2 linked regions of the Neurospora crassa OR74A genome follow. The protein of the gene in region 1 interacts with the protein of each later gene in a biochemical or structural test. Links are inferred from orthologs where the notes say so. Each region holds a gene or a part of one and is shown on either strand. Other genes may lie near its edges. The genes, in order: NCU04581 and Bml.

What was found.
Region 2: the proteins of NCU04581 (region 1) and Bml form a complex in vitro, tested with the Saccharomyces cerevisiae proteins (2 studies listed by BioGRID, with this or other methods). The link is inferred for Neurospora crassa OR74A from reciprocal best matches to the Saccharomyces cerevisiae genes KAR3 and TUB2.

What each region holds. Positions count from the first base shown.
Region 1 is NC_026505.1:1,612,363-1,616,740, forward strand, and holds the start of NCU04581 (kinesin), read right to left. Parts: upstream 2,961-4,378; 5' UTR 2,784-2,960; coding exon 2,748-2,783; intron 2,640-2,747; coding exon 2,474-2,639; intron 2,350-2,473; coding exon 2,204-2,349; intron 1,990-2,203; coding exon 1,704-1,989; intron 1,185-1,703; coding exon 1,059-1,184; intron 1,009-1,058; coding exon 1-1,008. Other genes in the region: NCU04580 (vacuolar protein sorting protein Vps66), read right to left, coding at 3,858-4,378. UniProt on the Saccharomyces cerevisiae protein: Minus end-directed microtubule (MT) motor involved in spindle midzone assembly, poleward transport of newly captured kinetochores along the lateral side of MTs, karyogamy (nuclear fusion) during mating, and with an essential function in meiosis I.
Region 2 is NC_026506.1:2,581,260-2,585,716, reverse strand, and holds Bml (tubulin beta chain), read right to left. Parts: upstream 2,853-4,457; 5' UTR 2,652-2,852; coding exon 2,640-2,651; intron 2,399-2,639; coding exon 2,375-2,398; intron 2,301-2,374; coding exon 2,275-2,300; intron 2,207-2,274; coding exon 2,165-2,206; intron 2,100-2,164; coding exon 2,045-2,099; intron 1,972-2,044; coding exon 1,181-1,971; intron 1,124-1,180; coding exon 730-1,123; 3' UTR 202-729; downstream 1-201. UniProt on the Saccharomyces cerevisiae protein: Tubulin is the major constituent of microtubules, a cylinder consisting of laterally associated linear protofilaments composed of alpha- and beta-tubulin heterodimers.

The sequences.
Region 1 (4,378 bases):
CTGGAGACGACATAGTGTACGTCTTGCCAGAACCGGTTTGGCCGTAGCAAAAGATACACACGTTGTAGCCGTCCAAAGCGCTCTGTACCAGCTGAGAGATCTCGTCGAAGATTTCCTCGTTGTGGACTGACGGAGCAAAGACTCGGTCGAATTCGAAGGGGAGCACCTTGCGGTTGATGTTTCCAAAGCTACTCTTTTCCTCGAGCCCGGTCACTTCAATCTGTGCGGACGACGTTTTGGCGTCGGGGAACATAATCTTGGCCTCGCTGCCTTCGGATTTGCCGAGTGCAGGACGGACTCTGCACATGACCCGGATATTGCCTTTGAGCTCCTGGTACTTGTTGAACAATATCCGCCTCTCCGTCTCCTCCTTGATGAGCTTCTGTTTGGCGTTCTCCGCGATTTCCAGGGCCTCCCGAAGCCGTGCCTCCATCTGTGCAAACGAATCCGACTGTTGCTTGCTATCAGATTCAAGGAAGTCAATCTGCGCCCGAAGTCCTTGGTTCCGGGCTTCCAGTTTCCCATTTGTTGTCGCCATCTCATTGATCTGTTCCTGCAACGCCCTTTTGTTTTTTTGCTCTTGGCTCAGTTCTGACCGCAGATCGTCCAGTTGAGATTGCAGTTGCCGTAGTTCTCGTTCTTTCTCCAAGAGCGATTTGTTGATATCCTGCTGTTCTGCCCCAAGCTTCAGCCGCAAGTCTTGGACCTCCTTTGCCGCCTTTGCCTTTTCACCCTCCAGATCTGCCCGACATTGCCTCTCAAAAGCGTCCTTTTCCTCGCGGTTGATTCGTTGCAGTCGTTCGCTTTCCTGTTTCAACTTTCTCTGTAATTCTTGGACTTCATGTTCATGCTCTCTTGACTTGTTCTGAAGTTGATATTCATGGTCCATCTTCTGTCTTTCCAGTGTGAGGGTCAGTTGTTGGAACTGTTGTCGCAACGCATCCATCTCCTTCTGCAGCAGTTCGTTTCTCTCGTTCAGTTTTTGTCGTTCCGCCTCAAGTGTGTCCACTAGTAGGTGTCAGTCAGCCTGGCGTGTTTGTATACTTGCTGCCACGTACCTTGATTCTTTGCCATCTGAACGGCCGTTTCCATGGCCTTCTTGTCTTGCAAAGATATGCTGAAAGCCTCCTTCATCACCTTCCATTCCGCATCAACCTCGTTGAGCCGCTCGTCGACGTCAATGCCTGTGAATGCGGTGTTATTAGAATCCTTGGTGAGAAAAGAAAGCTTGACAGGTGAAACGGATTTTCGGGTCGAGGCAGTTCTGTGAGCGGAGACGACGGCAGAGTTGAGAATGACCTCGAAACGCTCCATAGCCGCACGGGGGTCTTCCAATCTTGACTTTGCTTTAGGGGTCTCCGGGTACGCCGTTGTCGACTGTTGGAGAGAGGACTTGCGTCGTGCGGGTACGGCTCCTTCGGTTCTTCGTCTGGGTCTTCTAGCAGGCTCCGCCTTAGCATCCGACTAAGACGCTTGGGAGGCGGGCTGCGAAGTCTTTCGAGGCGTCACTTGACTCCCGCTGGGGATGTTCTCCTTCTCATCACAGATCGACAAGTCCTGCAGGCGCCTGCTCAGACCCGAAACAGCCCTTTCCTTCTCTTGCTCTTTACCCGACGTTGAGTATCGTGGTGAAGGAGATCCCCGTGTCTTCTTAGGCTTGACTTTGGGTCCGGGGACGGGTATAGAAGATAGAAATTCCGTACCATTAGGCGGCTGGGTAGGCGCCGGCTGTGAAGGCGCTACGCTAACGTCTCTCGAAGGTCCATGGCCGCTCATCGATGTTGCTGGTCGTGGCTTGGAAATGGATCGCGATCGATTTGTGGGCTGGTTGAAGCTGGGTTGTCGTAATCCTGTTACAGGTGGTCGGCTTGAAGGACCCAAACTCTTTGTGAAGCTGGATGGGTTTGTCGAGGAGTAAGTTGGCCGATGACCAGTCGCCGAGCTTGCGCGCGGGAGCGCCGTTGCCGTCGTTTTGTTCGCATTTCGGGCCTAGAGAGACATCAAGTCAGAACTGACCTAAGCCATATCGACGCGCATAATTGATCCCACAGTGGCCATCCTTCGAAAGCACCGGGAAACGGTGTGTCACGCGACAGTATGGGATTTGTGTTGTGGAAGGTGGCCGGGCTTGTCGTAAAATCAATTTGAAGATGGCAAACAAGACTCAGAATGTATGGTGCTGATGGGCGGAGGTTGGACCTACATTAGCCAACTGAACGATTGATGCGCCGGATATGGTGCCTGTGAGAAAGGCGCTGGTGGGCGTTGGCGCTGGTAAATGGGACTTTGGCTGGATAGGCTCGCCGGCCCTCTCGGCGAGGGTTTTTCGTTTCGCATCAGGCGGGGCGACTGAAGAACATGGCGTGTTAGCCATCGAGGCCATGGACAATGGCATGGACAAAGCCATGATGTATGTGGTGGGTGTTTGATCTAGCTGGTAAACAAGACGAAGCAGGTGGAGGGGATGTCTTACCACCGCTGTCGTTTGCGGCGCGCTTCGTGGGTATGGACGACATTTGCGCTCGCGCGTTGCTCTGGGAGTCGGAGATCTCTTTGAGGCCGGTGGGAGCAGTCGCGGTGGCCGTGGCGGCGTAGGTGGTTGGAAGTCGCAACTTGGTCGAGGCTGGGTTAAGGGCGTTCTACAATTTTCGATAAGCGGGCTGCCCTGCTTCTCCATCTTATCGCAGTAGGGAAATGATGGAACAATCAAGACACAACGAAGTGTTTTAGACAGCTGTGATACGTACCCTGTTCTCGGAGCTCTCCATGGCGAGCGTGCGCATGCGAGGGATGATGTTGTTCACCAGCACACACGAGCCGAGCAGCAACGCCCCAGATGTCGAGGATAGTGATGGCGCCGTTGTGAAAGTCGTTCAGTACCTAGTCATGCGCCTTCAGCGACGGCGTGCCGGCTCCAGAGCGTCGATTGGCGTACAAGCGGCGGTTGAGTGGGACTTCCACTTGCGAGTTGGGCCCGGTCCTGGCCCTGCATCGCTTTGTTTACTTCACCACGGCAACCATTTCTCCCAGCGCTATGTCCAATCGTTCGACCTCGACCAAGCGGGCGAGCGGGGCCCACAGTGTGCAGGTGCCATCTTAGGCCACGGGACGGTACGTACCTGCTTGTTCCTTGCGCTAGACCATTCTCTGCAGCGCCAAGACATCTGCTCTCCTTTCGGTCTTCATTGTCCCGACCTTGCAATGTTTCTTGCACTAAACAGCCACAACCTTTTATCACAGAATCTTCGACAAGTGTCCGATTCTGTTTCAATACTCTGATTGGTTCTAATCCTGCTTCACATAGGTTATTAGGACGGGAAATGTTACAAGCCGATACTCTCATGTTTCGAAGACAATGGTTTTGGACACCACGATGTCCAGACTCAGGTAAAGCTCGCCTATCTCGCTCATGCATCCATCGCGTACCCCGAAAAACAAAGCACTTTGTAGGCCCATATTCCTTTCTTGGGCCAGCATGCAGTGGTTCTTTACATGTTGGTTCAGCGGGCAAGCCAAACAACGCTTTGGACGTTTTGAGATGTTCCCTCACTGGTCGAGAGTCTTGAACGATGACCATATAATCTCGCCAACATCTGCCTACTTCAGGGCAACGCATCTTAGTACTTCTCCTATTCTACCGTCACTGTGATCTGGTGTGTTATATCAGTCATGAATGCTGGAGTATCCTGTGCGCAGTTAAAAGATGACAGCTCCTACGCGCGATTCAATGTCCAACTACACGTCAGAGAGATTTCTATCCCTGACGAGTGAAACCAAATCATCCTCATTAACCTCATTAACCGTTCTCCCAAACCCCTCATATATACCTCAATCCCTTTTCCTCCATCCCACACCATCTACCTCCTCCTCTTCTCCCAAGCCTTCACAAAGTTCTTCTTGTCCTCCACAGTCAACCCAACTCTCTTCGCCCTACCCAACCTCGCCAACGTCTCCGCCACCTTATCCAAAAGCCTCTGCTCCTCGGCCGTCAACTCTCCATCCCCTCCCTCTTGCCTTTCGCGGACATCCACCCCCGAGCTCTCCCCATGTGAAACACCATTGCTAGCCCCTACGGTATTAACCAGCCCCTCGCCAATGCGAATCCTGATACAGTGCGTCGGCCTAGCCAGCAACTTCCACAGAAAGCTCAACCACACCTTCACTCCCCCAGGAACCGGGGTGGTGTCGTCAACGGGGGTATACCGCAAGCTGAGCGGGAAGATCTGCGTCGAGCTCGGAACGGTAAGCAGCGACGGCGAAAGCGGCAAGATGCCCTTGCCGTTGGTGGTAGCGCACTCCGGAAAGACAGCAATCGCTCTAGTCGGGTAATCTTTGAGCAGCTGAGCGATCGTCGTCAACTTCTCGCTATCACCCGCCG
Region 2 (4,457 bases), on another chromosome or scaffold:
CCTAGGCAGTTGGGTAAATGGAGACTTTCCATAATGGGCTTGTAAGACAGTTCACTTGGACTTGGTGTTCTGTTGTGGCTTTCGGTCTTGCAAAATACTCACTGCGAGAAGCTGGGAATCTTATCACTGACTCTGTTGACCATGTCTGGTTCTCGCCCTTCCTTGGTTACATTACATGACTCAACGCACATGAAAAAGTGGGCGAACATTTGAGTATCTAAAAGTCACCGACTGCCTTTTCGCCGCTGCCGCGTAACAGCTATTATGTCAGGGATAATTATGATAATCCCTGATCTACGTAGATCTGTCGCATCTTCCGCAAGCTAGTTACAAGTATACCGCACAACACAGACATAGTCCCCCAAAACTAAGGACTCTTGATACATCTCACGCTCCCATAGTTACAGAGTGCGTAGAGAGAAAGCTTGGCCAGCAGTAGACACTTGGAATCTAAACAGACATTATCATCATCATGCAACATGCATGTACTGTCTGATGTATTAAGAGTATAGGGGTCAACAACTAGAGTGTCTGACAGGTATATCTAGCAGTTTGATTTGACCATTCTTTTATTAAAACACTGTAACCCGCAACGAAGAACTCCTCCGCTTCAAGTCAAGAATGCGCATATGTGCGTAAAATCGACAAGCCCGGCGGCATTCCACCGAGCAGGGTATTGCCTTTGGCACTTTACGTGCGCAGAGGAGCCTGAATGTTGAGTGGAATGATTTACTCCTCGCCCTCAAGGGGGGCCTCCTCCTCGTACTCCTCCTCCTCCTCGTCAACACCAGCATCCTGGTACTGCTGGTACTCGGAGACGAGATCGTTCATGTTGGACTCAGCCTCAGTGAACTCCATCTCGTCCATACCCTCACCAGTGTACCAATGCAAGAAAGCCTTGCGCCTGAACATGGCAGTGAACTGCTCGCCGATACGCTTGAAGAGCTCCTGGATGGCGGTGGAGTTACCGACGAAGGTGGAGGACATCTTGAGACCGCGGGGAGGGATAGAGCAGAGGGCAGTCTGGACGTTGTTGGGGATCCACTCGACGAAGTAGGAAGAGTTCTTGTTCTGAACGTTGCGCATCTGGTCCTCAACCTCCTTCATGGAGACCTTGCCACGGCTGTTTGATTCGTCAGTATTAGTGGTCAAAAGCAGCATTCCATGATCAGCAACTTACAAGATGGCAGAGCAGGTGAGGTAACGACCGTTGCGGAAGTCAGAAGCAGCCATCATGTTCTTGGGGTCGAACATCTGCTGGGTCAACTCGGGCACGGAGACGGCACGGAAGTGGTGGGCGCCGCGGCTGGTAAGGGGAGCGAAGCCGACCATGAAGAAGTGGAGACGGGGGAAGGGAACCATGTTGACGGCGAGCTTGCGGAGATCGGAGTTCAGCTGGCCGGGGAAACGGAGGGAGACGGTGACACCGGACATGACGGCGGAGACGAGGTGGTTAAGATCGCCGTAAGAGGGGTTGGAGAGCTTGAGGGTCCTCATGCAAATGTCGTAAAGCGCCTCGTTGTCAATGCAGAAGGTCTCGTCGGAGTTCTCAACGAGCTGATGGACGGAGAGGGTGGCGTTGTAGGGCTCGACAACGGTATCGGAGACCTTGGGGGAGGGCACGACGGAGAAGGTAGCCATCATGCGGTCGGGGAACTCCTCACGAATCTTGGAGATAAGGAGGGTACCCATACCGGCACCGGTACCACCACCGAGGGAGTGGGTGATCTGGAAGCCCTGGAGGCAGTCGCAGCCCTCAGCCTCGCGACGGACGACATCGAGAACCTGGTCAACAAGCTCAGCACCCTCAGTGTAGTGACCCTTGGCCCAGTTGTTGCCAGCACCGGACTGGCCGAAGACGAAGTTATCGGGGCGGAAGAGCTGGCCGAAGGGACCGGCGCGAACGGCGTCCATGGTACCGGGCTCGAGATCGACGAGGACGGCACGAGGGACATACTTGTTGCCGGAAGCCTGTCAAGCGCGAAGCTAGTTAGCGAGCGAATTCTCGAGGAGGGGGAGATCGTCGAGACCGGTTGTTGCTCACCTCGTTGAAGTAGACGTTCATGCGCTCGAGCTGGAGCTCAGAGGTGCCATTGTACCTGTAGTGGGCGGTGAGCTTTCGAGGCCATCACCAGATATGGTTATTGGGCACGAGGTTACGTACACACCGGAGGCATCGAGGCCGTGCTCGCCGGAGATAGTCTGCCTGTTTATTCTGTCAGCGTCGGGCTCCCTCGCTCAAAGGTGTGGTTGTTCGCGATGATGACGACGTACCAGAAAGCAGCACCGATTTGGTTACCCTGATCGTGGCTGTTGTGTTAGTCCTGCTGTTGTTGTTGGATCGCGACGGGGGTGGAAGCCATCATCGACTTACGCATTGGCCGGTTTGGAGATGAACCTATAGCACGTGAAGAAATCGTGTCAGCGTCGATGTCCATAATACTCGCGATAGATGGCAGTCCGCGATGGCGAGAAAGCGAGCAGGATCATAATGAGTCGGGCAGCAGTAGGTAGAGGCACAGAAGGGGACGAGGCAGTTTGGTGGGGTAGAGCAATCAGGGGTCTCTTGGGAGGGAAAGAGAAAAAAAAGAGGGATTGCTCTGCGTGCGCGGCACAGTAGGCATCAGAGGGAGACTTACAATTTCACGCATCTTGACGGTTTGGTGATGACGAACACGGGTCTATGTGGAGGTTGAAGGCAGAAAGATGGAAGAGCAAAAAGATGGAAGTGGTGATAAAGCCGACGCGGATAGACGAAGACGACGGAGGTCGGTGAAAGTGGAGAGGTTTGATGTCTGGCCTAGGGGAGACTGGGAAGTCTTGGGAGTGGAAAGGGAGATTTGTTGATTTTTGGTGCAAGAAATGAGCGGGCCACAGCCGGCCAGCACCAGCTTCTCGTTCACCGCCGCCGCCGCTCGCCGGGCTGCTGCTGGGTTGCCGGGGCGCTTGCCAAAGTGGGGACATCAGGCACTGTCAAACTTTTGGAAGGGTGGAAGGCCCCCTGTCGACTCGGTTTGGGTGGTCCCTGCACTCTGGCTCGGTTCCTCACGCGTTGACCTCCAAAAACCGCCAAAGACAAACCTCCCCCAGCTGTCTCTCGGGGCCAGCGCGACGCGCTAGTCTGCTTCTGGTTGGCTGGCAGAGTTGGCAGGCAAAACCAGCCGGGCGGCGGGTCCCACATGCTCCTGCCAATGTGGGGTAAGTCGCCAGCTCGAGACCGCTGTCGAACTGTCGCAACCTCCAATTGGATTTGGCTGTTGGTTTTGGGCACGACTCGGTCACTGGCCCGGCCAGACTTGGGAGATCAGGAACAGCATCGCGACTCGTAGGGGGCTACATTCACATCCATTGTTGAGCCCGACCTGCAAATTACCTAGCTGGAGATCAGGGAAAAACAGACACATAGATGGAAACTCCTCAATTCGACGCGGCATTATACACTAGTATAGTTGATGCCATCCATGACTTCCACTTACAAAGGAACAAGGGAAGCAAGCTACCCCTCCATCTCGGCACGCTTCAAGCTTCGTAGCTTACGGTAGTGTACGGGGTACTGTATGGGCCTGCTGATTGGCAATTTGGGGTAGTAGTGTACCTTGATTGCCAACTGCCCGCAGAAGGGAAGGATGAGCCCGCTCTCCTGAACCTGGTCGCATATCATTTATCGAACAAAACACCGGAAGTTGGGATTGGGAAAAAGGAGATCTCATTCACCCAAATAACGAAAGGATCGCTCGTTACTTGTACCTTACATTGAGCAGTACACTAGAAATATGTAGGTCCACTGCATTGCAGCAGCCATGCAACATTTCGCTGTCGCCTATGATGGCAGGGATGATGACCTTCATTTCCCCATCTTCTTGTCAGTCAGGTGTACATGTAAACAAAGTTGAGGGGACAGAGACAAAAGAAGGATGGAGCTGGACAAGCACGGAATGCTCCCCAACATATACGGAATCAGAATATGAAAGTTGTAGATAGACATTGACATATTAATTTAACTAGAAGAATGATCAACCCGTTCATGAGGCTATTTCATGACTTGATCATTGCTGTTGATGGCTTTTTTTTGCCATGCTGTGCGTAGGGTATGCTTCCGCTTGCTCCACCCCCGTGTGTTCGTTTTTATTTGTTTTCCCTCCCTCCATTCCCCATTTCACAACCTAACCCAGAAGCAATGCAAATGGTATAAGGAAGTGCTGCTGATGCTCAAGGAAGATCCCGCCATGCAAGAAAACAAGAACGATGAATAAGCCGCACGCCCTGCTATGCCATGGCCATTATGTCCCCATACATTTTCCTGCTTTTTCCTCTCTCCTCATTACAGTAGAGCAGTGCGACCCGCCTTGCTGTCGCATCCTCTCATGTCTTGCTTTAATCAGTCGAAACCCCGCTTTCAGTATATCTTCGTATCCGATGGCCTCAGCCTATTATAGCAAAAAAGACCCTAACCACTC